2 linked regions of the Schizosaccharomyces pombe genome follow. The protein of the gene in region 1 purifies or fractionates together with the protein of each later gene. This does not show direct contact. Each region holds a gene or a part of one and is shown in the gene's direction. Other genes may lie near its edges. The genes, in order: mxr2 and trx1.

Evidence for each region.
Region 2: the proteins of mxr2 (region 1) and trx1 purify together in Schizosaccharomyces pombe (affinity purification with western blotting, with the first as the bait; one study listed by BioGRID). This does not show direct contact.

The regions. Positions count from the first base shown.
Region 1 is NC_003423.3:890,030-905,719, reverse strand, and holds mxr2 (peptide-methionine (R)-S-oxide reductase Mxr2), read left to right. Parts: upstream 1-1,936; 5' UTR 1,937-2,147; coding exon 2,148-2,564; 3' UTR 2,565-2,803; downstream 2,804-15,690. Other genes in the region: ATR checkpoint kinase Rad3, read right to left, coding at 1-1,355; SPOM_SPBC216.03 (uncharacterized protein), read right to left, coding at 3,035-3,778; dynein-anchoring factor Num1, read right to left, coding at 4,739-7,645; serine/threonine protein phosphatase PP4 regulatory subunit 3 Psy2, read left to right, coding at 8,587-9,298, 9,357-11,155; squalene monooxygenase Erg1, read right to left, coding at 11,668-13,041; SPOM_SPBC713.14C (uncharacterized protein), read left to right, coding at 15,377-15,604.
Region 2 is NC_003424.3:2,622,319-2,637,929, forward strand, and holds trx1 (cytosolic thioredoxin Trx1), read left to right. Parts: upstream 1-3,014; 5' UTR 3,015-3,138; coding exon 3,139-3,450; 3' UTR 3,451-3,537; downstream 3,538-15,611. Other genes in the region: dfg10 (steroid dehydrogenase), read left to right, coding at 348-1,172; oligosaccharyltransferase subunit Ost4, read right to left, coding at 1,622-1,720; SPOM_SPAC7D4.08 (uncharacterized protein), read right to left, coding at 2,724-3,014; dolichol-P-Man-dependent alpha(1-3) mannosyltransferase Alg3, read left to right, coding at 4,265-5,485; SPOM_SPAC7D4.05 (hydrolase), read right to left, coding at 7,055-7,501, 7,591-7,667, 7,703-7,865; autophagy associated protein kinase regulator Atg11, read right to left, coding at 8,271-11,051; protein ahk1, read left to right, coding at 11,893-14,553; sfp47 (SH3 domain-containing protein), read left to right, coding at 15,408-15,490. UniProt on the Schizosaccharomyces pombe protein: Participates in various redox reactions through the reversible oxidation of its active center dithiol to a disulfide and catalyzes dithiol-disulfide exchange reactions.

The DNA.
Region 1 (15,690 bases):
TTGTTGTTTATACACCATTTTGCAAATGTACATATGTTATGACCATTCTGGAAATCCACTTTAAGAATATTTGACAAGTCATTGTCCAAGGAAAGATAATGTAAAAGAAAAAGGTTTAATTCAGAGTTAGAAAACAACGTGTTTTCAAGTTTACCAGTACAAATTTCGCCAAAAGCACGGAGAGTTGTTTGATCTATTTCTGAACTTTGGTATCTGCACTTAAATAATATTATTGCCTTTTTGAGATCAGAATCTGGTTCAAGTTGCTCTAATACCTTGAAGTCAGAAAGTAAGGAAACCCCAAAAGGATAGAATAGACCAGCTACAGTTTTGGGTAAAACAAATAAAGAGAGAAAAAAAAGAGATATAGCAGTATTAGCAACTGTATAAGTTTTCTTCAATGATCCCAATGTTAAGTTGATGGAGGACATTAAAATATGTTTAGATTTTTCACAAATGGGAAGGCCATGATATATAAAATTCAAGGAAAAACAGCATAAAGTTTGGACTATACGTGAATGCAAATGTAGAAAGAGCTGTGAGTCTCCGATGCTGATTCGTTTTAATAAAATAACAAAATTAAAAAAACATGGCTTGATCCAAGTCCACGCTGTAAAGAGAGGTGGACTAGGAAAATTGGATTTCTTTAAATATGAGCATTGTGCAAAAAAATGGGCACTTTCAAAGAAAAATGTACAAGCCTCCTCTATATTAATGATAAGTAAATCAAATTTGTCCTCTCGATGGGTTGGATAATTTGGGGTGATACTCTGCAATGGTTGAGAATTGGGTGAGGGCATCTTGTAAGGGAATGTAGCATTAGTGATTTGGAGAACTATAGAAGAAACGTTTGTAATATAATATTTCCAATAACGCATAAACGAAGCATATAAGTCCCATAGGAATGACTTTTCACTGATTAGCTGATAAATTAGCTTATGAAACTCTTTTAATGAGTCAAATAACTTAATAAAACGAATATCAGCAAACAATGATATAGTCCTGGGTAAAATCCAATCCAAAAGAGTAACAGATGATTTAATCTCCCGCAAAACTGTCGGAGACCTTTTTAAGATTAGCATTAACGCTTGTAGAGAGAGATGGGCTTCTTTTAGCATCTTAGGAGAGATAAATTCAGATTTTGAATCATCATGTTTAAAAGCTAGAAGACCAACTTCAATTAAAACTTCAACAAGCTCGGAGGTCATAGATGGTAAAGAATTACTTCTACCTAACTCATGTTCTTTGTCTAATGCTAATACTTCTTTCAAAAGCTGTCCGAAAGCCTGTCTGTCATCTAAGCCTCTGGGTGAAAGATCGAGTGACCCAGCTTTCCTTTTTGCGTGTTGGCTCATACTATATCAAACCATTGATTCAATTCAAAAAAAGGCCTTTTTAAAACGCAACACGCGCGTTCAAAGTCTTGAGCATTTATAAAAGACGATTGTAAGTAATAAAATATCTCAATAGAATTATGCGAAAAGTGGCAATCGATTATCAAATCGATTTCCACTCACGAGGTAAAGGAAGATGCATGGTGCACTAAGTATCGAGCGATGCTAATTAACGAGCTTTTGTGATACTGAATTTTCAGAGGAAACTAACTTTTAAGTAATATTAGGCTGGATGTTTCTGATAATGATTGAATTTTTTGACTTTTGATGTGATTATAATGGTCAATAAACAAAAAAAAAAGTTATTGTTGAAAGGTAGTAGGAGAGAAAATAAGCTATTTTACGGCTAATAAAAGAAGAAATGAGTTTTAATTCAATTATTTCTTAAATAAATAATAAGAAAATATTGAAAAGATAAGTTATAATCGCACATCCTAGTTCTCATTGACTATAGCGTCAGTGGAGCGTCATACGCAGGGCATTGGTTCACTAGATCGCGGATTCTTCTGTGTTTTATACTTACTAAGCAGTTTTTACTTGGTACCTACCTATTCACATAAATAGTGGTCAAAAAGTCGTTTACTTACTTGAAAATTTTTGTAGTGCCAGTTGTGGTACATATCGTCTTGTGTTTTCATGAAAAAAGTGATTACTACACACTTTTCAATCTGTGGAAATACGAAGTTTACGAATCTTTTGAAACGTGCATATAACGTCTCCTACCCTGTCCAAAACGTCAAAAATAATACAAAGATGGGATTTCCATTGGAAAAAAGCGAAGATGAATGGAAAAAGGAGCTAGGTCCTGAGAAGTATCGAATTATGAGACAAAAGGGTACTGAGCACCCAGGTGCAGGACGATTCACTCATCAGTTCCCTAAACAGGGCGTTTTTGTTTGCGCTGCATGTAAAGAGCTTCTTTATAAAGCTAGCACAAAGTTTGAAAGCCATTGTGGATGGCCTGCGTTTTTCGATAATTTACCTGGAAAGGTGAAACGCATTGAAGACAACTCTTATGGAATGCATCGTGTAGAAGCAGTTTGTGCCAACTGTGGTGGTCATTTAGGCCATATTTTTAAAGGAGAAGGTTATTCTAATCCTACTGACGAACGCCATTGTATAAATTCGGCGAGTTTGGAATTCCATAATGAGGCAACAAATGACAATTGAACTAGATTATGCTTAATATTTCTGTATTTTCTTTATTAGATGTTAGCACCAGTTCGAATTGTTTGTGCTTGATGTACGGCTATTATTTTATTTAAAGTTGCTTGTTCACGTTTTGGTTAACTTCAATAAAATGCATTTACTTTTAACATTTTAAACTAATATATTTTGTTTTCAAAGAGTGTAGTAATCTCTAGGTCAGAAATTAGATTTACTAGCCGTATGTTATAACTAAGCTGCTTATGCCAAAGTTAATAAACGATAACACAATGTTTACACTACCTGATATGATCTTCCATTTATTTCAACTATAAAGGGTATAACTAAAGTATCCCTCACTTAAATATTTATTAATTTGCGTACGCTTCATAGGTCATTGAAAAATTTTCGTTCTTTTTTCAGAAGATTTTAAGAAAGGAGTAAAAGATGCGTGGACTACAATAATACGCGAAGGATCCGAAAATGTCATTACATTATACTGAATAAGTATAGGATGATTCTCCTTTTACGACGAATCCAGCAATGGCTTTATATATTGGCACATTTCCATCCGTCATGTCAACCACCAAATGGATGGACTGATTATCAAGAGCGAACAGTAGTACAGTACGCGCGACGTTTTCACGAGACATCATACAATTTATGGATATCTTACCCAATGCAACTTTTCCAGAACCCTTCTCGTCTGTCATACCAGAAGGACGTAAAATCGTCCAATCAATATCACTAGAGCGTCGCACTAATTCCTGATCCGCTAGGTACTTGTAATGGTAATAAGTTCCAATTGACTGATGTATTTTCTCACTTAGCTCTATATCAGCAGCCGTATAGTAAGGAGGAGGAGGTTGGCTCATATCACGATTATCTATCGCAGATATCATAATTAAGCGTCGAATACCAGCTATCCTCATAGCATCATAAACTTTTATAGCACCTTCATAATCGACGGCTCTTGTTCGTTCAGGGCCGCCTTTACCTCCTGCACCGGCTGCAAATATAACAACATCAGGGTGTATTTCAGCTAAAAACTGAGCAATATCATTAGGCGTCGCCTTCTCAAGTGAACAGACAGAAGTTCTGCCATGCACTTTTTCAATGTCTTCATTCTGAACATAATCACGTACAACATTGTAAACTATATGGCCAGCTTCTGTAGCAATTTTAGTAAAAAGCAAGGCCACCTTTCCATGCCCTCCAAAAACAACAAAAACAGTCATTTCTTACAAAATAAAAATGCTGACGATGATTTCTTTAACCGTTGGGAATCAAGAATCCAATATATCCTTCTCCCTTATTGAAAAAGGAACTTAATTAGCTGATCCTTTGAATAAAAGCAATGGCAATTGTTAAAATGAGTAATTTTTAGAATTGGAAATGCTGTGTATCTGTCAAACCCCTCTTAAAAAAAGAAAGGAATAAGGAAAATGAAAACAATCTACAAAATTGAATCGAAGAGACACACCACAGGGAATGAGCAAAAGCACGGTTTACCTAATTAGTAGTACCGAGTTAATTATGTGACGTTTTCAGTTTTTGTATGGTAAGCTCTAATAGTTTTAACATGATGTAACGATGCAGTAAAATAACTAGCCAGATATATTGTGCTCTTTTTAACTTTCGCTAAAAGTTCTTGGGGTAATACACGGAAAGTGCATCTGGGCACTAAAATCATTTAACAGGTTGCTTATTATTCATTCAGTAATTGAAAGTCGCCCAGATTTGTTATGTTTACCAGTAATAGCAATGTTTAATTCTTTGCACATAAAACTCCGTCAAGGTTAAGTCTGAATCTTCTTTTGCTTATACGGGATAATTTGTTTTGATAAAACTAACATTATCGATGTTACCTTTAAACGTTAGTCGTCTTTTGTTTGCTATTTAAATGTCTCGTATGATAAATTGATTGATTAAAAATGAATTGTATAGAAAGAGCAATTTTTTCGACAAAATAGGAAAGTATATCATCCTCATTAGTGCATGTCGAATTGCAATAAAGCTTGATCGTATAAACCTCATTTACAAAACTGATTAAGACATTTGATTCTTAGTTGTTTACAGTGGTTTAATATCTTTCTATTTGATGCCGCTTAATAAAAACAATTGGTATAACTTTAAAAGTTGTTAGGGAATATTGAAACAGTTTACTTTAAAACTTATAAGCAATGACTGAAACATGCTTAAATGCCGGGCTTAGTATCAAAGATAGCCTTATGATTTATTTGTTTGATAGCTTGAACCCAGATATTGTGAATTTTCTTGCTTTTCGCTTTTAAGACGATGGGCTTATCAGTTGTCTGCATCACAATAACTTCATTATGTAAATTGGCGTTCTTTAAGGCATCTGGGGCTTTTATAATAGTCATTCCCTTAATTTTCACAGACTTGACTTGATTTTTCCTTCCTTTTTCAATAAATGGATTTGTTTTAGACCAGCACAGCATTTCACAATGCGGGTTAATCCAAAAATAGCGCCAATGACTCTTTTTAAACATTTTGAAACTCTCACTTCTCGGGTACTTCATCATTTCGTTTCCCATCATGACATGTTTCATCAATTTGTTCACAGAATTTGCATTACAAGTTGAAGAAGATAAACCTGATAGATTCAAATTATCTCTGCATTTTTTCGTATTTGTTTTGCTTTTGAGATTATTGCGAGGTAAGGTGAATACGTCTGACACCGTCGACAAGGAAATAGAAATCGTCGTAGCCGTACTTCTTGCTTTCAATTGACGTGCTGATTGCGAGGAATCATGCCGAGTTTTTTCAACTTCAGCTGTTGGATAAGTACGAGTATTCTTAGGTGCAGACGGATAAGTTGACGCCTCCCAATTATTATGTTTTGTAAAGTCTTTGAAAAGCATTGAGGAAGTTCCGTTTGAATGTCTTGAAGACATATTAATGTCCAAAGTAACATCAGAAGTTTCCAATGATTGACGTGAAGCAATTGAACGATTCTTAAACATCGAGGATTGAGCAATTTTTTCCCATTGTTCCCAGTCATGCTCTTGATATGGGATCTTTCGAGGAAAAACTGCCTTGCCTTGCCTCATACAATTCATAGATCCATTGGAACATAGCTTTTTCGAATTCCTAACATTACTGTGGGAAATATCCGTAGATAATCTAAAATTCTTAAATTCAGCTATTTCTGGATTACTATAGTGGCGCAACCTCCGACGAGGAATCGAGCAGTCAATAATAGCGCTAGTTAATTTTCTTTTCAACCTCGTGGTAGCAACATTTGAAAGCGCATCGGTCCTTAGAATGACACTATTAGCTGATGTGTCATTTACTTCATTTTTTATTAAGGAAAAAACAGAGCTGATAAATTCCATATTCTTTTGCAGATTCCACTGCATGGAGATTGTATTTGCACCACATACAAAGTCTTTGACATTTTTTAGACAACAGAAGTGATTCTCCAGAATATCATGTTGTATACGGTTTAATACATGATTTCCATAGGAATTTAAAATAGGTTTAACAAGCCTATAAGAGGAGACGCGATTGTTTAAATAATTTTCACGTCCACCTTTGTTTAATGCAGGCAGGTAAGAAACATCACGTTCGTAAATAGAAGAATGATTTAAAATGTTTTCTTTTAGTTTGAAATTAGCAAATTTTTCAGTATCTTTCAAATGCATCTCAGTACTTGCAGACATGTCGCATTTTGAAGAATTCGTATCTATAGGAAATTTTTGGCGAGGTTCAAATTGAGCCAATTCAAAAATTTCCTGGCGATCTGAGCTTTTAGTCGGTTTGAAAAGTTTAATGACTTGTTTATTTTTTGAGTCAATATCTTTTATTGAAATTTGAGAGGTGAGAGATTGAAAGAATGACTGAATAAGATGATTCAGAGAAAGTGGGTACAAGCAAGAAAGCTGAAAAAGGCCCAAGTTACTTTTCAGCGCCTTTTGTAGTTGCTGATAAGACAAAAGGAAGCAAATAAACTCATCATCTCTGTCGGTTTCATCTTCGATGTCTATAGAGTTTTCTGGTGATACTGCCTTGTTCAGAGACCTGATTGATTTCTTTATGTCAGCTTTTGTGTTTTCAATTATTTCCGATGATAAATTTGGAGACGGTGTTTTAGTATCGTCAGCTACCAAATGATTTACACTCACTAACTCCTGTTTTGCTAAATTGATGGATTTGAGAACGGCCGATGATTGAGATACCGAAGTTTGTACATTGGATTCCAACGACAAAAAAGGATCTATTGGAAAATCGTGTTTCTCTTCTTGCTCCGCATCAAAAGATGAACTATCAAAATACTTATCCGAGGAAGACTCCAAAAATACAGAATCGTCGTTTTCATCCTCAGTTACCAAAGTATTTTTAGAATCTTCACTTTCATCTATAGTTTCGCCTTTTTCGGCATTCAGTTGAAGCTCGTGAAGGCAAATTCTTAAATTTGTTAATTCCAATGTCAGTTTGTTCTTCTCATCGTTAAGTGAAACGGTCAAAGACTCTACTTCTGTCAATTTTTTCATTAATCCTTGTAGTCTTTGTTCAAGCAAATCCCTTTGTCCTTGCACCTTAGTCTTCTCTTTCATAAGTGTTTTCATGTTTGAAGAAAGTAGATCAAGTTGCTTGATTAAATGGGCATTATCCACTGACAACTTTTTATGCAAATCTTCTTTCTCTGACAGTTGCAGCCTTAAATACCGCAACTGTTGCAGAAGGTTTAAGCCAATGTTAGTAGCATATTGTAGATTGGTTTCAGTAACTGAATATTGATCTACTTGAGAAGACTCACTGAAGCAATTTGTGTTCTTCCTTCTTTCAATTGCAATGTCTTGACGTTGAATAGTAAGCATCTCCGTAATTCTCACCTCCTCCTCCGCTAAATTTTTTTCCAAGTCGCGTAATTTATATCGATTATCAAATTTGTTATTAAAATATGTTTTATTTTCCTTTTGAACCACTTGGTCTTTAATTTCTTGTTCGATTTTTCGTGTTTCACAAAGAATGCTTTCCTCTAACGCTTTCGCATAAGCAAGCTTTATTTTTGCACTTTCATTTCTATTTTTTAAATCAATTGAATATAATTCCACCTCGTTATCTTGTTTTTTCTCCATGAAGGATCAGTATATGTTTTGGTAAGCTCAACTCTCTTTGTCTTTTATATATCGATAAACTCGTAAGCATGCATATCGCAACAGTCATCGTCTTGAATACATAATTTTTATTTCTGGAATTATATCAATTCAATTCGTGTTCTCATTTGGCAAATTTCTCGTATTACGCTTTAACAATAAAACTTAGTAAAAGCAAAAAAACTGTATTTATATTGATGCATTTGCTAGAGTACTTGAATATCTAGCGAAGCTTTAGCAGCTTTCAATATATATATCGGTATAAATACCATTAGTTTGTACTTAAAAATTAACTATTACTTTACAAATGTACCCTGAGCCTCATGATTGACTTGCAAAAAATTGATTTGACGAGGCTACACATGTGTTTAGACAATAATTAACTTTATTTATATTCATATTTAGTTTATTTACTATTTCGAAAAGATTTAAATGCTAATTGTAGACAGTATAAAACGTTTAAAACACAACTCGATATAAGGATTGATTACAGCATATACACCGAGCGGTGAAGTACTCATCGTTAAAATGCATAACGTCCGTTAATGATATTGTTGTAAACAGATACCGAATTACAATGAAAAATAGTGACTGAAAGCACCACGATCACGTATATAATAGTTATTTGACTCTATAAAGAACATAATTCTGCCATAACACTTCAAAATTATGCACGTGAAATATACATAGTACACTGCTTAACAAATCTATTTGTTATATTTTAGGCAAACCAAATAATTAAGTAAAGCGGCATTGCCATTTAATGAGAAATACATTTATTAATAATTACAATCTTGGTGCAATCTACGGTATTGCATTCATTCACCACCACGTTTGAATTTCGTCTTCACTTTTGAAAATTTGGTGACGAACGCCAACGTCGTAAATTCGAAGCTGACGTCTACCCTTAATCCGCCGTAGAAATGGATTCTACGAAGGAAGAGGAAGATTTAAATAATAATATTGATGAAATTTCAGATGGAGAAAATGAAGAAGAGGAATTAGACGAAGCAATTGCAGCTGCATTGCAGAAGATCGAAGTGCCATCGATTCCCAGACGTGTAAAAGTGTACGAAATGGAAGATGAAAACTGGGTAGACTGTGGCACCGGTTATTGCGATGGAAAAATAGAGGGACCGTTGGCTTATTTCATTGTGCGTTCAGAAGCTGATAATGAAACCATCCTTTTGAAAACACAATTGATTGCGGAAGATATATACAGCCGTCAAGAAGAAACTCTCATAGTCTGGCAAGAATTGAATGGTACTGATCTTGCTTTAAGCTTTCAAGAATCTAGCGGTTGTATAGACATGTGGATGTTTTTAGCAAATGTTCAAAAGGCAATATCATCGGTAACTAGAAGTTACTCCAACGATGATATATTGACGGATGAGGGGGCGCTTAATGAAAACTACCTAAACACGGTCGATCTTCCAGCCCCAGAGCTTGCTAATTTAAAAGAAATTGAAGAAGCAGTATATGGATATATGCAGTCTATTCAATCAAGAGATAGTTTGGTTCGTTATGTTTCAAATGAAAATTATATTGATAGACTTATTGAACTTTTTCCTCTGTGTGAGGATCTAGAGAATACAGATGACCTTCATCGATTGTGTTCCATAATAAAAAGCTTTGGTATGTTAATCTACTTTATACTTTTTAGATTCGTTAAATCCTTGCTAATCGCTGTCAGTGCAATTGAACGACGCCCCTTTACTCGAATCGTTGTTCTCTAATGATGAAAAGCTAATGTGTGTAGCTGGTATTCTCGAATACGATCCGGAATTCCCCAATATCAAAGCGAACCATCGGGAATATTTAATGGATTCCAAAAAGTTTAAGCAGGTGGTTCCCATTCAGGATCCACGGATTCTTGCAAAAATTCACCAGACATTTAAGCTTCAGTATCTAAGGGATGTTGTCGTTTCAAGGATTGTTGACGAACCCTCCTTTTCGGTGCTAAATTCATTTATCTTCTTTAACCAGGCTGATATTATTCAATACCTTCAAACAAATGAAAAATTTTTACATGAACTGTTTAGCATTTATGTGAATGAAGGCGAGGATGATCAACGCAAGCAAGACGGTATATTCTTTATTCAGCAGGTTTGCAACATCGCTAAAGGGCTACAATTCCAGTCCTGCTCTGCATTATTTGCTACTTTCGTTAAATTTAATCTTCTGAAAGCTTTGGATTATGCAATGTCACATGAGAACAATTCCGTTCGAAATGCTGGTTCCGATATTTTGGTGTCTATTATTGATCATGAACCTGCCATCGTTTGGCAAAAGTTTGATCAAGATCGCAAGGACGCTTCTTCTTCATTGAGCAATGCTCACGTTTCCCAACATTCGTTGCTTTCCAATTTAATTAACATTTTGCATAAAGAATCAAATCCTGGAGTACTTGCTCAAATTTCTGAAGCTTTTAAAATGCTACTAAGTTTACCTGGTAGCTATGCATACAATAATCCTTACAGAAATGCTGATGGAAATGTTCGAAATAAAACCGATAACATTATTGGAATTAATTTTATTGAAAATTTTTATGATAACTCTTTTAATATGCTTGCTGCTCCTTTATTGGAGCTGGAAAATGTATCGAGTTTAGATGTTAAAAAGCTTGATATGTATATGCATTTGTGTGAGCTTTTTTGTTATTTTTTTCGTATACACGATTATTGGTCTCGTCGTTTTGATACATATAAAACCCTTACATCAAAAGTGGCTCTATTACTATACAGCGATAGAAAATATGTTGTTTTGAGCGCCCTTAGATTTATTCGCTCTTGTTTGGCCGCTCGTCAGTCAGAAATGTCCTTGATCATGTTAGAAACTGACACATACGGAAAAGTTCTGGACTTGATGTTAAAGGTCAAAGACCAAACTAATTTAGTCAACTCAGCTGCTTTAGAGTTTTTTGAATTTTTAAGATCCGAGGGATCTGAAGATACACTGGATTATCTCAATAAAAACTATCGACCACAGCTGGAATCTTTAAATAATCTCAGTACTTTTTCTGAGCTTTTAAATATAATAGATGGCTTAAGCTCTGACTCAAGAAGCCCTAAAACTGTTGGGACTCATGAATCAAATAGTTATGAATTTGACGGTGCCTCCAATAATAACCAACGTGTTGGAGACGACGTATCCAAAGATTGGGAAATACAGCAAGATTTTTCTATTGAAAACGATACTGAATTATCAGAAAAAGTTGGACAACGTACTGTTCTTGATTCTATAGCCCCTGCTGAGCTAAATATTGAAGACAGTTGCGAGCAGCCAAAGCAACCTATATTAGAGGATCGTTATTTCCTTGAGTCTGCAGTTTATGATACCTCTGCAGAATCTTCAGGTATTAATGTTTCAAACACCCGTTATTCTAAAAGGAAATCGGATTTCCAAGTTGATGATCAGCAAGCTGATGATGAATCACCAAAAAAGAGACTCTCTATCGATTCAAGTTCTGCCCAGAATGGCTACGCTTCCTAGAAGATGAACATAAAAAGGGAAGCTCCAAAAACTCTAGAAGATTGTAATGCAAGTGAATCATCATATGGACATCGTATTTTTGTTCCCGGGTTTATCATTGTTTTGAAAACTCATCTGTATAATATAAACGATTTGGGTTGTTCATTAAGGGACTTTTAAAATAATAAATACCAATTTTCATGTTACTATCGTGGTCTTGTAGTCTCGGGATAATTGTTTACTTAACGCTGACGAATAATTGTACTTAGTAGGCTTAAAAATTAAAAAAAAGTATTTTATATTAAAACGGCAATTTATAACTCTTGAAAAACAGAGGGATTTATATAATAAACAAAAAGAGTGTGAAGTCATTACAAACTTGAACCCAACTCTATCTAAAACTATTTCTTTAAAAACAACGACGTACCAAACAAGGCAAAAACCAAATAGCTATCAGTGATTGCCAAGACAATCATAATCAACCAATTCATAAATCAAAAATAATTTAATTTTAATGAACTGATTCTGCAAACTTAGGATGACATTTCGCTAAGGATATAAGGGATAATTACTAGCGAAGCTTGTAAGAAAATCAATAAGGATTCGATGATACGGACGGGCATAAGCAAAGCAGGACCAGACAAGACATATTGGTAAATACCATAGAGACAGACGGCATAGAAGTGGCCGATAAGATGAGAAGGGCTATGGTCTAAACCGCCTAATAAACGAATGGGACCTTCAACACAATTACCTCCACGCTTGAAGTAATCGATACAGCCCGATTCAAGAGCCTTCATATAGCGATTTTTAGGGGTAAACAATTTGTACAAAGCAATGGAAAGAACGTTGATTACAAAACTGTAACCCTTACGCTTCCAATGGAATTTGTTCATTTGGTTTAAAATGCGCTCGTAGTCTAGAAGATCGGGAACAGCGGAAGGGGAAATGAATCGGGAAAGAAGATAGGCATCGTGAAAGCAAACAGTCATACCACCGCCGGTAAGGGGATGGCGCATATTGTTTGAATCGCCAACGAGGATCATACCTTTGGTACGGTTGACAGTGGGGGGTAAAAATTGGTTAGGCATGGACCTAAGACGATCGTTATAAACAGCGGCCTTGAGGGAAGGGCGAAGCTTTTCGGGCATGTTTGGGACGCATGATTCTAAAACGTATTTTTTAAGAGTCTCCATGGGGGGTAAATTCTTACCAGGGTAGTTGATTAAGATACGAGCTTCAGTAGAGGAAATTGGGTAAAGGACCATAGGAGCAACCTTGCTTAAAATTACATGACCACGACCAGGAGCGATGTAATCGGGATTGGTCAAAATCAAGCCCAAGAAGTGATCGGTGACTTGGATAGGGTGATCGATGAAAGCCTTTCTAAATTTGGAAAAGCAACCATCACAAACAATGGTCAAGGGAGCCTTGTACTCGACAGGGGACTCGGACTTTTTAGAACTGGTAACAACACCGGTAATCACCTCACCAGTTTCATCGCGTAAAAGTTCATTGACGGTGGCCTCGGTTACAGTGACGTTGGGGGTGCTTGTAAGTGCTTTACGAAGGTTCATGACAAAGCGACCATAATGGAAACCAATTCCTTGGTATGCACCGCCATTGGGCTTGCTGGGGTAAGGAACGGAAACGTTTGAATCGCCATAAAAGATTTGATAGCCAGAAGTCCATTGACCGTCAATGCCTTCGACAGCATCGGCGATGCCGATCTTCTCTAAGGCTTCAATACCACCTGGTTGAAGCAATTCACCAACAATTCTATCGGGTTCAGACATATCACGTTCCAAAACCAACACTTTTCTGCCTTGGCGGCCCAAAGCGGCGCCCAAAGCACAGCCGGTGATACCGGCACCAATAATAATAATATCAGCGTCTTGAGTTGCCATTGTGGATAATCAAGAAAGAATAGAATAACAAATAAAATAAAGTAAAAGAGATACTGATGAAAAATACTTGAAAAAAAAAGGAATGAATGAATGTGAAACAAGAGAAGTTCTTGCAACAGACACTGGGATTACAATTCAAGTAGGTTTACTAAAGGTAAAAGAAACGAATCGAATCAACGATCCAAGACAGACAAAATTGCAAAGGCAAAAAGTAAAGAAAACTACACACAGAGAAACAGGAACAACGAGAACACGCGAGGAAACACACAACTTGAAGAGAGAAAAGACGTGTGTGTATGTGTGTACTAAGCAAGATCAACCAACAAAGACGTTAAGAGAGATTGCTCAAAATCACAAAATGATATTCAACGAAGGAAATTAGGCAATACAACCTACAACCAGACAGTACGTTCGGCTTTATTATAAGAACGGAACGAAGGCGAGCGAAAGCACTTGGCGAATGCCTTTCAACGAGTAAGGAAGAAACTTGTGGAAGCAGGAATCGGTAGCACCGCTGATAGGATGGCGTGGAGCTAACTTTGGTGATTTTATAGGTCGACAAGACCCCATAGGGTTAGGGTTTTGAACTATGAAGGAAGTTAGTTGAGGGAGGGCTGAGCAAAAACAGACCATATTGTCGCAAAGCAAAAATAAAAGTAGCCAATCAACGGCTCAAAAATGACCGATCGCCGAAATCAAACGTAGCGTAGCGAGGAAGAGAGGTATCGCCGATTTCGCAACGCATTTAACAATAGTATGATATGCTGCTTTAGTGCAATGATAGCGCAAGTTTGAATGGATTGTATTAAATGGGAAATAGATGAATGAATGAATGAAAAAAAAAAGAGTCAGTGAATAGGAAATACAATAAAATAAACAATTAGAATGTTTTTTTCTTTTCTTTTGTTTTACTTTTTTTTTTGGGCATACAGAATGAGTTGTTTAAAACTTTTGATTGAATGAAAACAGCAAAGGTGATTGATGAAGCTTGAATGCAAAACAATACAAACAGCCTAAAGTAGATAAACTCGAGAGCAAATGAATAATTATTTAAACAATGTAAACATTTTTCAACTATTATTTTATTTATTAAAACATCGGAAGGGTATGCGTTAAAGTAGATGAAAGAGAATTATTTTTTTATTATTTATATTTTTTATTTACGACCTTTTTCAGGTATGGTATAAATTAAAAAAGTAGAATCCTGTAGAAGTGGGATCAATTTGTACTTAGTGGGGGGCAATCGGTATGGTGCTGATTTCAGGTAAAAGTATATTTAGACATATGAGCGTGATTCTATGAGAATGATTCTAAATGAGTATGGAAATGCACCCCACTTTAGATCTCAGTGGGGGTGGTTGAGGAAGACGGTGAGAAGAGCGTATATTGATTTAATTTGCCTTAGTTGCAACATATGAAATGTAAAAATAAAAGTTGGTTACGACAGAGGATATAACGCTACGCAAAGTTTAGATAATAAGATGGAATGGGGTGAAAACGGATTTAGAAGTAAACGAACGATAAATGGGCAGAGGCAATGAGCCATTACAAATGAATTGTAATTCTATGTGTAAGAGGTATGCGACAAATTAAAGAAGTAAGTGTAAAGGAGTGTATGGAGATTGTAGAAACGAAATGGTAGAAGCCAAACAGATGTATAAAATTGATACAAATAAAGTCGAGACATACAATCAGTGCTTAATCTCGGTGCATAAACTCAATGCTTAAGATCAGTGCATAAATTCGGCGCACAAACTCGATGCAATCACTCATACCACACAAGTATATACTCAGATATCCCTGTAAAGCACATCCACTGCCTCTGCATCTCTATATCCTATTTGAGTGTTTTATTCATATATACTGCTTGCATTTACTATGCTCCAGAATAGCGTATCCCGTTGAGCAGTATCCTATCGAGTAGAAATGTATGAGATTTGTCTTGAGAAAATGTGGACCGAATTGAAAAACACTCGAGAGAGAAGATAAAAGCAAAAAAACCAAAAAGCAAGAAAAGAAAAGAAAAGGGAGTAAAAACAAAGAAAAAATAGAAAAAACAAAACGAAACAGTAGAATTTATTATTGCGAAAAAAAAAAAAAGTCATTAATATTAACTGTCATCCCTCGCAAAGATGAAAATTATGAAAATAACAAATGGTAACAACCTACACTACCAGACGATTTACCCTTACCAGATGATTCCCCTTAGCCAGCCGATCGCAGTCTTTCCGCCTTGTTATTTCGTCTGCTTTGCTAGTTTATCAATATCGGGAAGAAAGCACATTTTATTCTTTAATTTTTTTTTTTTTACTTTTTCTACATTTTTTCTTTTAAAATGCAATTTCTTGAAAGACATTTTTCTGTTCTTTTTCCTGTTCTTTTTTTTTTTTCTTTTTACCCTATTTCTTTCGCACCCAACTTTGACTGGTCTACCTACGTTTCTCTGCATTACCCACTAACCCTGCCAAACCACCTAGCACTTATGTCATCTTACACACATCAGTCTCACTGTGGTACCAGTGTTTTTCATCAAGCACAGACACTGGTACATTTACATACATAGCAATGCATCATTTCATACATCCACACATATTCCAAGGGGCTAGTGAGTTGTGTGGCGTTTTAGCATGCAGAAAGTAAAATAGTAGA
Region 2 (15,611 bases), on another chromosome or scaffold:
ATGCAAGCTTATACATAAATGACGATAAAAACCCCATTTAAGAGTTTTTGTTTCTATTTAATTTACTTTTCTAACCATTTAATTTAAATCTCCCCTTTGAAGGTATGAGACTTCTAAATTTTTATCAGCATAAGTATCTAAATTTCCGAGCAGTTCGTAGAGGTTTGTAACACATCCTAGGTAAACTTGTACTATTCTAAATTCAATTATAATTAAAGAACTTGATACTCAGAGGATGATTAAAATAGGCTGATTCTTTCATAAAACTATCACATTCTTTGTTCTATTCAACTTTGACTTACAAAGTACATATATCTTTTATCCGACAAAGGACACCGCATTGTATAATGCAACTGCTTAATAACTGGTATTCGTTACTCTTGACTGAGGTAGCTGCATATTTTACGAGCACAACTCTGTTTGTTAGTATTTTAAAAAACGCGCCTAGTCTAAGCTGGTTAATGAAATACGGAGGTCATGATAATTTTGGGTTAAAGCCTCCTCTAATTGCTACCAAGCTTGAAGTACCTAAACGGTGGTTTTGGCATTTTTACGCGTTTATTTCCCTCTTGAATCCATTGTTTACATTTTTTATCCTAAATACCAATTTTCCTATTCCTATATTTAAAAATATCAAAGAGGACTTGATGTACAGTAAAAAGCTACAAGTACTCCTACTAATTTATGAAATTCACACGCTGCGTAGATTATATGAGAATCTACGTTTTCGCAAAAGCGGTTCGAAAATGCTTGCTGGTCATTATTTATTGGGATACCTGTTTTACACACATACATTCCTTGCATTGCTTTTGTGCGGTAGAAGAAGTTATGAAAATACAATGTCAAGCATGCAATTTGTTGGTTTGGGGATTTACGCAATAGGCAGCATTTGGCAGAATGCAAGTCATGAACATTTGATTGCTCAAAAAAATCATTCGCAATATCTAGTCCTAAAAAAAGGATGTTTTAAATGGATAACTGGCCCCCATTACCTTGGAGAAATCATTGTTTATACTGGAATAGCACTGATTGCCCAACACTGGTTAATATGGCTAGTCTTGGGATGGGTACTTTGCAATATGGTAGCAATCTCTTCTTCTTATGCTTGTACGGTCAAGAACAAAGAACAAAGTTTGGACTTTCGGTGGACTCTTATACCTTTTCTATACTAAGAAAAGCGTGCCGTCAGGATACCGCGATTCTTATTGATTGTGTAAAATAACATTTATTAAAAAAAAAGATAATTTGTATTAATATTTAGTCGGGGTTTGAGAAGAGACGAACTTTAAAGATGTATTATTATTTTATGTTGCACTTTAGTACAAGCAACAGTAGATGATAAAAGTTATTTGGCCAGCATGTAGAAAATAGGGAAGGAAGGAAAAAGAGATAGGAAAATAAGAAAAAAGTAATACAAGTGTATCCAATATTTAACGGAACAAATAATAAGACATATTTTGTTTCGTAATATAATCATTTTGATATGCAGGTACAAATTCCATTTCACAACAATACCAAAGGTAACTTCCCTTAATTGAAAGAGTGACTAATTTAAAAAACGTAGACGAAGAGTGCAGCTATAAAGGTAAGTTAGACAAACAGACATGAATCTCTCTTTCTTTTATGCTTGAGGACGTGAAAGGTAATGGTAAAGGATGATTAAGAGCATCATGGAGATACCAAAGGTGGTAACGATATTTTGAAGTTGAACGTCTGTCATTTTTAAGATGATCCTTTGTAGGAAATGAGTTCTGATGCTTGTGCTCGGTACAAGTTGGGAATACAAGTATTTAGGTCCAAGCCTGAATTGCCGTGCATTCTCATAAAGTAACGAAGCACGGTTGCTACTTGAAATGTGAATATCAGTACTGCAGTGATGAAAAAGACTGCCGGTATATAAGGTAAAAGAAAGAAGAAAGAAAATTCATTTTACGGTACTTTCGAATTCTTTAATACATATTGCTGCTCAATAGCTTCTGGATGTCTAAAATGTGAATGCTTCGAAAGAGCGTAAAAAAATTTCAAAAAAAAAAATTTCTTCACCATCCCTATAATTGCCGTTGATTAAAAAAAAAAAAATGTAACTTTCTACTTTGTTAAAGCCAAAGTAGCTGTAGAAAAAGTGACTGTGGATGCGTATGTAAAAGGTTACCCTCTCAAGCTGAAAACTGCATTGTACTATTTCGCCATAACGTGAATTTGATATAAAGCGATGGTTCAATACACCGTTTCTAGAGGAAGTAGCATGGAAAAAACATAAATTAAAATATCGTTCATCGTTCTAACGAAAGTTCAGCTACCGCAAAGAATTATTTGACTGGCGATTAACTTTTTTTTGATTTCAGAATTTCAAGTATATGTGACACTGTTATAAACTGCATATTTATACTCCTTTTCCAATTTCTACCGCCATTTATATGTAAAATGGATTTTGTTAACAGTAGGAATATCGCCTCACTATTTTACATTTTTGTATGTCTTTTAATTTGTAATTTCATATCAGTACCTCAGTTGTTATAACAAAATTTTCTTAACATTACTTCGACTCCACTAACTAGATCGTGTACAGCAAAGAAAAGAGCACGCATAATCTTTCAGCTTACCAAAAAAAAAGAAAATCTTTACATTTACATACTTATTATTTTGATGCTTTAATTGCTTATAATCTCATGTTTGTCGAGAATCCACGATTAACAAGCTGACATAACAACAAGATGGCTTCTTTAGCTTTGTTTACTAATTGTCAGGTTTCCGATTTGTGATTCGTTGTAATTCCATGAAGTATTACTCCGAAATGCGTTATAGAAAATTAGGAAACGAATTGGTAGGTTGATGGCAGAGAATGGCACCATATCCTCGTTATTGTAGCTCATTACCTCATCGTCGGTGATTGCACAATGTACGCTCTCGATCTTTCTACTAGAATAAGCGAACTTATAAATTACACATTTTCTCAATAATATATAAACGGGCACGTCGCACCATCGTATAAGTATACTAGAGACAAAGTTCATTTGCACTCCTGAAGTCAACGTCTTTTGAATTTTTCAGGTTTACTTCTGTTTACTCGTTAAATCGATTTTTTCTTTATTTGAGTATATATTTTTAACTTAATTTCCCATTTCATTTATATACAACATGGTGAAACAAGTCTCCGACTCTTCTGAATTTAAATCTATTGTTTGCCAAGACAAGCTTGTCGTTGTCGACTTCTTTGCTACTTGGTGTGGACCTTGCAAGGCCATTGCTCCTAAGTTTGAGCAATTTTCCAACACTTACTCTGATGCCACTTTCATCAAGGTTGATGTCGATCAATTAAGTGAAATTGCAGCTGAAGCTGGCGTTCACGCTATGCCCTCTTTCTTCCTTTACAAGAATGGTGAGAAGATTGAAGAAATCGTAGGTGCTAATCCTGCTAAATTAGAGGCTTCTATTAAGGCGAACCTCTAATTTACGCAATCTGATAGTTAGTTGTTATGAACTTGTAATACAAAATATTTTTATTTAACAAAAATAAATGTTTTGCTTTTCTTTGTGTATGCACCGTTGTAATTTATTGGGAAAAGTATTTTTGTCCTAGCATCTTTTCTACTGAAGTTGCAGAACGGCGATTTGCGTACAATTATCGCAATAATAGTAATGTGCCATCGACCAGGCGTAGTAATCTAGTCATGGGCATTTTTCAGACAAGCTAGCTAATTTGCGACCGCCTTGAGCATTTGTAATATTTAATACGACTTTTTGGTTAGGCGTTCGTGACTCTGTTCTACATTATTCTCCTATCCTTCTAAGATAGACATTGGAGAGTGTATACCAATTTGGAATGATACCATTTGGATGAATAAATATCCTTTTTGATTACATGCTCAAATACATGCTACTCTTTATTTATAACATTATACAATTAACCCAACGAATATTTATGTTGATCTGAGTAGCAAACATATTTTTGTATTCTATTAGAATAAAATCTTTAATATTCTCGTTAAGTATTGTTTTATAACAATCAAATTTCACATTTATGGAGTAAAATCACAGTAATGATTACGCTCCGTCGACATGTTCTTAACACTTACATCCTAACATACATTGTTCGTCTAACGAGTTTCATTAAAAACACAATTTTTCTTAAACAAAAAGGAGTTCCTTTCTATGTGAAAGAACTCTACCAATTTTCCATTGTCTATAATAAGCGTTACTCTTAAAAACCTGGGATCTGTCTACATTATTTGCTAAAGTCTCGTATTTTATCAAAAGTTAACCAATGTCTTCAGTTGAGACAAGAAATTCTTTTAATCCTTTTCGGGTATTATTTGATCTTGGTTCCTATGGCTGGTTACATCCTTCAAGGCTCCTTCTGTTGGAAATTCCTTTTGTCTTTGCTATTATTTCCAAAGTTCCCTACACGGAGATAGACTGGATTGCTTACATGGAGCAGGTGAATTCATTTCTATTAGGAGAAAGAGATTATAAATCTCTTGTCGGATGTACAGGCCCTCTGGTCTACCCTGGAGGGCACGTATTTTTGTACACCCTTTTGTACTACCTTACTGATGGAGGGACCAACATTGTAAGGGCGCAATACATTTTTGCCTTTGTATACTGGATTACAACGGCTATTGTAGGGTATTTGTTTAAAATTGTCCGCGCTCCTTTTTATATATATGTTTTGCTTATACTTTCAAAACGTCTACACAGTATATTTATCTTACGTTTATTTAACGATGGATTCAACAGTTTATTCTCTTCCCTTTTTATTTTGTCTTCATGCAAAAAAAAGTGGGTTAGAGCTTCAATTCTACTAAGTGTCGCTTGTTCTGTCAAGATGTCCTCCTTGCTTTATGTCCCAGCTTATTTAGTTCTTTTGCTCCAAATCTTGGGGCCCAAAAAGACCTGGATGCATATTTTTGTTATTATAATTGTACAAATTTTATTTTCTATTCCCTTCCTTGCCTATTTTTGGTCGTATTGGACTCAAGCCTTTGATTTTGGCAGAGCATTCGATTATAAGTGGACAGTAAACTGGAGATTCATTCCACGCAGCATTTTTGAGTCTACATCATTTTCCACATCAATACTTTTTCTTCATGTTGCTTTGCTAGTTGCATTTACCTGCAAACACTGGAATAAACTGAGCAGAGCAACACCATTTGCAATGGTAAACTCCATGCTGACCTTGAAGCCTTTACCAAAACTCCAACTCGCAACTCCTAATTTTATCTTTACTGCATTAGCAACATCCAATTTGATTGGTATATTATGTGCAAGATCCCTGCATTATCAATTTTATGCATGGTTTGCTTGGTATTCACCATATCTATGCTATCAAGCTAGTTTTCCTGCTCCGATAGTAATTGGCTTATGGATGTTACAAGAATACGCATGGAATGTTTTTCCTAGTACTAAACTATCTTCATTAATCGCTGTATGCGTGCCGCTTATTACTATTTTGAAGCTATACACATCCGACTACAGAAAACCCTGATCCCTCTTTACTAATACGCAAAATAAACTTTATAAAAAGCTTAAACACTTCACTTTTAATTACTCATGGTTTTTAAAAAACAAAATTTTTAGTTTTTTCATTTGTGTACCGACTATAAATTTTTGAAAATTAACATCTTATAAAAACGAACATTAGTCTAATCTTTTAATTCGTATCTTTATGCCGTCATAATTCGATGAATATTCTCTTCAATGAAAATCTCAGGGGATTGACAGATTGATAAAAATTCATACATTTAATCATTCGACACTGAAATGAATTAGCACCAGTGTTTTTATCAAATGCTCATTATTACTTTTAAAAAAGCGTTTCTAAAATATAAAACAAACAGTTGCTAAGAACACAAGTGCTTTCCGCACAACTATTGCAAATATTAGAATAAACAAGTTGCTGATTTTATAGCTTGCACCATTGACAGTCACATTTTACTAAGGTTTCATTATATATTTCAGTTCCCTCGTTAAAGTAATTTTGTGATTTGCTGTTTATTTGCATAATGTGAACTTCTTAAGGATACATTCGACCGCTGTAAGCGCCTCTTGTCTGATGTAGCGTAGTATGGATTATGAAAAAAACATATTTAGCGTAACTTGTAATAGTTCTAATAAGCTAATAAGTAAAATCAACTTCTACCAGCTTCAACTGCACTTCAAAATATATTTTTCATAAAAGGTTTAGAATAATTGCTTTTTAAGGGAATGACTATAAACGCAGGCATACATGTGAGAAAGCAACTTTTATCTTACTATAGCTAGTGCAGCGTAATAAATATTTCTTTATATCAGCATATTGGCATTTCGAGGGAATAATGGTGAATATGTAAATGTCTTAAAAATATTAAATATAGAGCCAGTACTAATTGTTAAATAAAATTTAGATAATTTAAAAGCATAAATCCCTTTAGCTAAATAAATGCTTTATCGAATTTGCTCGGTTTGCGTCAGTTCTTCGAATTTCAATATTTATGAATAGAGTATACACTCCATTAAAGAAAAGAATTTTGTGAGCTACTCTGTATAGATTTTGAACCCGTAAAAACAGCAAATGCATAACTGAGCCCTAGATTGTTGGTCTAACGATTATTCTCGTAGCATGGATGCTAGACTTGGAATAACGCGACTAGAATGGTCATTCAAATTAGAAAATAAAAAGGATTGCTATTGCGTTTATCGGCATATTCTTCATTTTTTAAATTTTCGTTAGCATGCATATGCATTAGCCATTTCATGTTCATGTCTTTTCGGAATATTCATTGTTTACTTATTTGCGCCCTTGTATAATGAAAACAACAATAGATCAATCTCTAAAAAATTAAAAGGATCACATAAATATAATTTTTCTTCAATGTCAAAAGCTAGTACACAAAGGAACAACAGAGCTTTGTTGAAAATATAATCAATTTATACATTTATTAGAATTCTGACGAAATATTCATTTATAAGAAAAAATTATCATTTCAAATGTGAAACCTTTATTGTCACATTAGGTCCTTGAAGAAGGGGTCCAGATATGAATGTTGGATACGCGGTAAACCTGACTGCGTTTATTTTACTTCTGTTCAAAATATTTCAGGAAATTGGTTTTTATGTCACAGTATTCAGCATTCCATTGGATGTTTCTTGCTGCTGAAACATCTTTTATTAAATCATCCCCTAGGTGCATACATTCTTCTGGTTGAATCTCCTGTCCAAGAAGTTTAACAGCCTTTTCCATAGCATAATCAAATATTTCCCTGCTTGGTTTTTCAAATCCAACGTCGTACGAAAACGCATATATATCTATTAGATGATCTATGCCGTAATCTTCAAGCACTGTACGAATTCTTTCGTCTGTGTTTGAAATAATACCAATAATGTATTTCCTCTCTTCTTTATTTCTCTTAAGGAAATCAATCAGAAGAGGATGAATCGTGTAACCCGTCTTTTTGGAAAAGTAACTCCATAGCTCTTCAGCCATTTCTGCAGGAACAGGAGTTGGAAAAGAATGTTCGATAACCTAAAATTGTTAGCATGTAAAGGTTTTTTAGAAATCAAGAGATTCAATTCTTTACAAAACACAAATCTCAATGAAATTCAGACACATACTTTGATCCACCAGTCATGAGGATTTAATCCTGACTTTTTTCCATGATTCTTATGCTTTTCACTGAAATCCTTGAATGCTAAATTATTAGATAAATAGAAACCAAAAGCTAACCTTTATTACTATTGTGTTCAATTTCATCAATAGTTGCATGAACTCCATACTTCTGAGCGACTTCGCTGTACACAATTGGAACAGGTTTACTTAAATGAAGGATTGTTCCAAAAGCATCGAACGTAACCAACTTGATCTTTTGGATATTTTTTGAGGGAATCATAATTCCAGGTTGTACTTTGATGGGACACACTACACAAAGCAATTTACATAAGGTACTCCTTACCACCAGTGCGTTGTTCGGTGTGATAAATAATATTTGCAAATCACTTTTATTGCGAGCGATTGCGTTCTACATATTAAATAATATACGAATAGATTAAAAGTTCATTAAAAATTTATCATGTTACAAGACGAGAGACACGCTACAGCAATAGTAGTCGTTAATTTACGTCGGATACCTTACTAGGCGAGACCAAAAAACAAATTTCAGTAAATAATGCCATAACAGATCAAAACCTGAAAAAATAGAAGTATGATAATACCAAATGTCTGTCATATAGAATCAGTCCCACAAATACAAGCAAAGAAAAAGCAAGTGAAGGTATAAGCTAGGTCACATAATGATTTAAAATCTTTCATCGATAGCTTCCACTAAATGCCATATTGTACCTGAAGGCAGGCGAAGCCATTTATCCGTCGAATCATCAGCAGTACGATCTTCAATGGAAGTTACCCTTCCTAACATCCAGTCGCGGCTTTCAAGTTTCAAATGCGGTTGAGTGTTCAAATAATAATGAGGAGCGTTAACATTAAAAGCCGCCCACACCTTTTTGTTACCGGCGGTACGTCGAGTAGGCAAAAACAAGACCAAGGATCCTTGTTTGAAATTCCTTAATGAGACTTTACTTTGAGAGTCCAAAATAGCTTTCAGCGCCTTGTCCCTGTTAGATTGAAATTCACGTTTCCAACGAAGTTCATGATTATGTGCTTGAGTCAAAACACTGACAACAAAGTTATGGAAAGAGTCAAAATCTAAAGAACTCATTCTGTTCAAAAATTCCTGGAAATTCCTATCAGCATCCTCCCCATCCATCCAATAAAGATACTGTAAATCTTTGGAATTAAATTCAATTTGGCGATCTGGAATCGATGCATGGCCATCTCTTTCGTTATCTGAATCAAATCCAGGCTGAGTAACGCATTCCCGAAGAACAGACTGTAACTCATTACACCGGAATACAATGGTATAAAGTTTCTGAGTTAATATCTTACATTGTTCTTTTCGATTCTCGGAAAGTTTGAGTAAATCAGCTTTCTCTGCAAGAGCATAATCTCTCTCTTCAATAATATGTTGTACTGCTTCGGCATCTTTTGCAAGAGTAGCGTATTCGCCCTTTTGCTTCAAACTCGTGAGTTGAAGCTTGAAAGCATTATAAAGTTCTTGCAAGCTATCAACTTTGCCCTCAAATACGGAGTAAAGGTTTAATATGTTCGGTTCATTAGAATGCATCTCCTCGTTTGATTGCTGTTCTGCAACTGCCGCTTCATTTTTCGTAAGCAGTTTCCGTGTTGATGAAAGTTCCTCCTGTAAATTTTCGTATTTTTGTAGCACTTCCTCATTTTCAGTTTCGAGGTATTGGATCTTTTCTTCCTTCCCTTGAAGCTCAATTAATAAGTCCTCATTTCTTTTATTTACCAAATCTAATTCGTTGCGTAATTGATTAACCTCATCTTGAAGTCGTAATATGTGGCTGTCGGTAAAAGAAGTTTTGCGATTAGTTAATTTACGAATTACGTTTAGAGGCACAATACTAGGGGAAACACGGTAAAATGGCTGAGAAGAATTAGACTGCTCATTGATGGGTGGATGTGGAGCATTTGGAGATAAACCATCATTGTTAATGTTATAATTAAAGCCGTTTTGATGGCTTAACATTGCCTCTAAATTATTGCAACGATTTTGATACATTGCCAATTTTTCATGTAATGAATTGTTCGCTTGAACCGTATTGGAAACGGCTTCTCGAGGACTTCCAGGAAAGCCCAAATATTCTGAGAGCCGATTGCTTAGCATTTGATGAAAAGTTTGGTAATTCGGATGTGCTTGAATATTGAGTAAATAATTAGAAATTTCGTCACGAGTTAAAACTGGTAAGTACTTTAGCTGGCCATGATTAAAAAGCAAATTAGAGAAATGACTGAGCCAAGACTTCCTAAGAGAAAGCTCCTTCTCCTGGTCTAAAGGAAGAGAACTATCATGGCTTACATTGTATGATTCCTGCCATTCAGTCCTCCTCAGTGCCTCCATTAAAATGTCGATATATAGCGAAAAAATGTTTCGAGACTGAGAAAGAACGAATTTGCTTCTGTCAAGCTCTTCTGCTATTTGTCGAAGATATTCGTACAATGCATCATATCTAAGAGAAACCTTATAAAAGGAAAGCCAAAAAGATTTCAAAGATATTAGTGATGACTTTCTAGAACTTTTTAATTCCGACAGATTACTTTGAAGTTTTTCCATGCAATCAGTAATTTCGGTTTCGTAATTACATTTTGGTTTGATTTGAGAAGTAGTTGAAGTTGACTCTATTTTAAGGATCTCTTGCAATATATTGGCTGCATCCTGAGCGACGGAACGTAGATGATAATAAGCATCATCTCCTTCCTTGATTGAAGGAACTTCCTTGAATGGGGAAACGATAATACTATTTGCGGCGCCAATGCACTGTTGGACTCGTTTTTGAGCTTCAGCATAACGAGCTGAAATGGAGTTTAACCAGGAGTCCAATTTAGTCCAATTTGTTGAAAGTATTTTAAGAGGAGTAATGGGTAAAGAACCAGTTGGTAGAGCGAGGAAATCATGAAGTAAATCAGACACAGATACTCGATCTAGTCTTTCGTAGAAAACGAAAAGTAAATCTTTCATACCAGATTGTCTTCTTTGTAAATAATTCATTGCAACTTCTGGAGAAACAATACTAGTAGAATACTCATCATGGCATACGCTTAATTGATTATGAATCTTTGAAGAAGACTCTAAAATATCAGATAATAATGAAAGACACTTGCTGATTTTATCTTTCCATTGATCTGAAGAAGAATCAGCTATAATCCCAGTAAGTACATTAGATATTGGTTGTCCTTTCAGAGAAGGAATAGAAGGAATTTTATCACCATCGTAGGTGAAAGTCAACAAGTTTTGATCTAGTACGTAAATAACCACATCACTTTCACTATTTAGTACGGTTTCATTCAAAGACATTCCGTTCGGCAATAATAGTTTTGCTTCATCACTAAGTCCAATATTGAGCTCCATAATCCAAGCTACAAGATTTTGGGGAGTCCATTGTACATTATCTATGGTCCAACTCTTTCCGGAGAATGAATCATTCAATCGAAAACGCATACTGACCTATTGTATTGCTTAACTTTATCATTCGCGATTCCCCAACATTAAACTTGAAATATTTGATCTAAAAGAAAACTCAATATCAGTTATTTATAATCCGTTGCATATAGTTATTCTCTGTCCTTATATTCCGTTTTGTTTGGTAAGTTGGCGGGTTCTATTTGGTTTAGGCGATTGTTGGGTACTAACTACCAAAAGGAGATTGGCATTGTATGAACACTGAGTTGAAGCTGTAAGACAATACAGCTTAAAATTTCAAATGTCTTTTCATTTAGCTTAAAAAAACAATTTTAATTATTGGTTTTATTATGTTTGTCTACTGAAATATATGTCATATGTAGCCGTATACCCTCAAGCTGGTGGGTTCGGAAACTCAGCCTTAACCAAGCATCTACACTGGGTGTGAACGAAAGTGTTGGGGATGCTAATTTACATTGCGGATTTCATATATTTAATTTAAAGATATCTTCTACTTGTTTACTTTTCATTCTTTTAGAATACAAGTATTCTAAACTCGGAAGTATTTTTCTTGTTTTTTTAACCGCGAATCTTTTGGTTACCGATTTCTCTGTCTTTTATCGATAAAGTTTTTAAAAAATTAAAAAAGTCAAAATTTCTCTACTGTAGGAAAAACTTTTGAGCATCTTTTAGCATATTTGGTACATTTTTTTCTGGCATTTGCATAGCTTGTCCTTTAAATCTTCATTTCTTTATTAGTGGTGATTGCACGGCTCATGTTAATTAATTTGGTTTTAATCTAGGGATTAATTATATTCTTTTTATTTGCATTTCACACTTATTCTTTTCTTTACATTTAGCTTCATTTCTGAAATTCTGAATGGGTGACTTTCAATCACGATATGAGATCCTTGCCGCTATTATGGGTCCTCCCAATACAGCCTCCTTTAAAGAGGAAGAGCATTCGGGTTCCCAAACAAAAAACTATCCTGTTGTGGTAAAATGTATTCAGGAACATGATCCCGTCGATACAACCAATGTGCTTGTAGCTGACGACCTTGATTCGAACTTTGAACCATTTTCGATTACAGATGATTATGGTAAATATGAAAACACTTTAGTAAGCCATTCCTCAACAATCTTAAATGAGCCTTACAACGAATCACCCTCATCATCATCTTCTGATTCCTCTTCTCGTTCTACCTCTCCTTTTTCTCAGTTGTCTTCTCAAAGCCTACGCCTTAATGCGGAGGAGATAGCGCCTTCTAGCTTAATAAATAAGGCCGTCCAATCTACCTTACGTCTTTCGGAGCCACTGGTTTCTCCAATAAAGTGTCCTTTATCCGAGCAATTCATCAATTTTATTAATCAGCAGGATTCTGATAAGGTAGTTCTTATAAGAGGGTTTTTATTACCACATTTGGCTTCTTTAACCACTAAAAACGTTTCCGAACCGGAATTGGATAAACTTAGGCATTCTTTGTATAACTGGTGGGTATCCATTCTTCGACGTTTACAATCTAATATTTCTACTTCAGAACGTATCACATATACAAAGGCCATACTTGCTATCGCCAAGCATCATTGTTGGAACAAAGTGGAACACTCTGCTTTATTGTACTTGGAACACCAATTAATACTTTACGATACATTGACATTTGTAGTTCATCTGCTTTCTCAAAAGTCCTTGCCGTATTCATTAACGACATTTTGTGCGAGTATCTTGGTTCTCTCCTTTTTTCAACTTCCACTTTTTGCCGACCATTTCTTGAGCGCATTAGATGTAAAGAAAAAGTACATTGATGCTTTGGGCTCATCCTTCGACGAAAAAATAATGATTATTTCACATAAGTATCTTGCGCCATTTTTTACTGACCAATTTTCCTCGACTATGCATCCGTATTACCCAAAACGAACTTCAACGCCTTTTACTATAGGTTACAATAGGCAGCCTATTGAATTCACACGAGCATGGATGCGTCGCTTTAAGTCTTCTACAGGTGGATTCTTTTTCGAGTTTTTATCATGCTATCATTCTTTTTTAGCTTTGCAATTCTCTTTCGAATTACCTGATAATGTCATATATTTCGCTCCAGGTTACATATGCTTACATGCTTATCTTCTTGAATTAACCATTTCGGTTATACATATTAGCGACAAAAAGCCATTAATGTTACCTACAGGACATGAGCAGTTTCCATGTAAGACTTTACCAGAAGTAAATCCATCAATGGAAGAATACAATCCTAAGATGCCTGTAACTGCCACGACTTTATCGACTCTTCAACAGTTTGTCGGACATATTAAAGATGCTTTTAAAAAGATTGGGGATTGCAGACAAGAGCAGATGCGTTTATTAGCCGTTTTAGAGCAAGTTTTAATTAATGTTGCCAAAAACACCCCTGCTTTTAATCTTCAATCTTGTTTCTTGCTGTGTTCTCTTGTTGAACAGTGTTTCGGGGTATTTAACGATTTCTCACACCGTTTTGATTTTTCTTTTTGGATTTCAGTTGCCAAAAGATTAATATCAACTTCCCACAATATGTCCATTGTTCGTAGTATAACTTTCATTTATGCTGTCTGGCCATATTTAGATATAAAATCTAAAGAATTGGTAACGTTGCAATGGTTACTAGAAGAAAATACTTTCCAGGAATTGTTTCTTCATTGGTCGCCTCTTGTGAGAGCTTATTTTCAGCGCCTTGTATGTTGGAGATTCTTAAAGCTTGATGATATGGAAGAATTCCAATTTAAAGGTACAGTTACTTTACGTGTAAAAAACCTTTTAAAGCATTATTTCACAGCCCAAGCTCTTTACCACGAAGAATGTCTCGTAAACGGTAGGGCATCTCCTATCACAAAACCCAGTGAACCTGTTCCAATGAGGCGGTTAACCATTGTTTGTAATCATTATCAAAATTATGGTAATTCGGAGAGTACCGAATTTGAGCTTTCCAATTATAAACAAGATGATGGCACAATTCAAGCATTAGTCACTGATGTCGTCTCAATTTCAAATAGCTTTTCGAGTGGTTTGAAAAAAGCTTTTGGGTCGCTTTTTAAAAATGTATCTGGTCTCCCTGCTGAAACTGAAATTGCTTATCATCATACTCTTTCTGCTTCGAATTCATATGTGTTTACTGATTTGGTAGATAATCCTGATTCAATGTTAAAATCTACATTGAAATACCGGTTTGTTTTCAAGTTCTCTCCATCCCAACCTCTTTCTTCCCTCGGGAAAAACAAGGAAAAATATGACGCTCTCTTAGAGCGCTCATCACATGGAGTTCTTCCTGTCCAGTCGAAGATGTTGCTGTACAACAGCAATCATATAAGCTGCCCCTTGTCAAGCATCAAAGGTGTTTCAGTAAACGGCAAAAGGTTAGTCTATACCAGCCGTGCATTAGTTGAATGGGCCCTTGTTGTTAATGAATTTGATCATGCGCTTTCTTTACGCAAAGGAAACGAGACGGAGGACATGGAGGCACCCACGTTAACTGTCCGTATTCCAAAATCGTATGCTTCTAACATCTACAATTAAAGAATGGATCTTGTTTGATTAACTTATTTATTTTCCTTGCGCATTTTGAGAATTTGCTTGATATCTATGTTACTGTCCTTCTTTTTTAAATCTGTATGCGATATCCGCTCTTTTTAGTTTTATCAGTTGCTTCTGATAAGTATATTGGAAGCTCAAATTTTTTAATCATTTGTTTCATTTTAGTTAGCTAATATATTGTTTGAAAAATCTTTTAAGTATGCTTACGTTTTATAAAACGGAACAGGTTTGAAGCATTTCTTTAATGTGGGCAATTTGCTTGAGTATATTTTGTCTGCTAGCTGCAAAAAACTGAAAATACTACTTGAATTGTTTGAAACTAGATATGTCAAATGTATATCTAATGTATGTAAGAAAAGGTATATCAAAGAAAATTTAAAGGTCATTTATCAATACTAATTGAATCAACTAGAGAATAGATATACATCCCCCCGGCAAAAGCTGAATGTTTATTTTTTTTACAATAGATTTCTATAAAAGAACAGGCATTCAATTTACGTGTTATCTACTAATTTATCTAGCAGATTTCAAAGTAGGAAAGCCGTAGTTGTTTTTCAGATCAACAATAATCTAGCATTATTTCCTATATCAAAATAAATTCAAATAAAATAAATAAATAAATAAATAAATAGATATAAAAAATTCATTAATTAGAGCTTCTGCATATTCTTTACACTGCCCTCGGCATAGTATAACAGCATTAACCTCTGTTACTTCAAATTTAATGCGCGTTGGAAACTTGACAGTGTCGCATGCTTTACCAACTCAAAAAAAAACAATGAATGTCTCATTAAGCTGAATTATACGAATTAACTTAAGAAAGAGATACCCCCATAATGAATTCGTTTTCTTCAAACGAGTACAGTACAGAAATCAGCACTGAGGCGCTTAACAATTGGCAGCAGCTTGTTGAACAAAGGTAAGTTGAAGCTTAAATTAATTTCGAAGAGAAGCATCTTATTCCATTTGATACTCTCGAATCATTAATTTTTAAGTATTTTTTTAATGATGGGTTATCCTTATTATATTTCGAACTGACA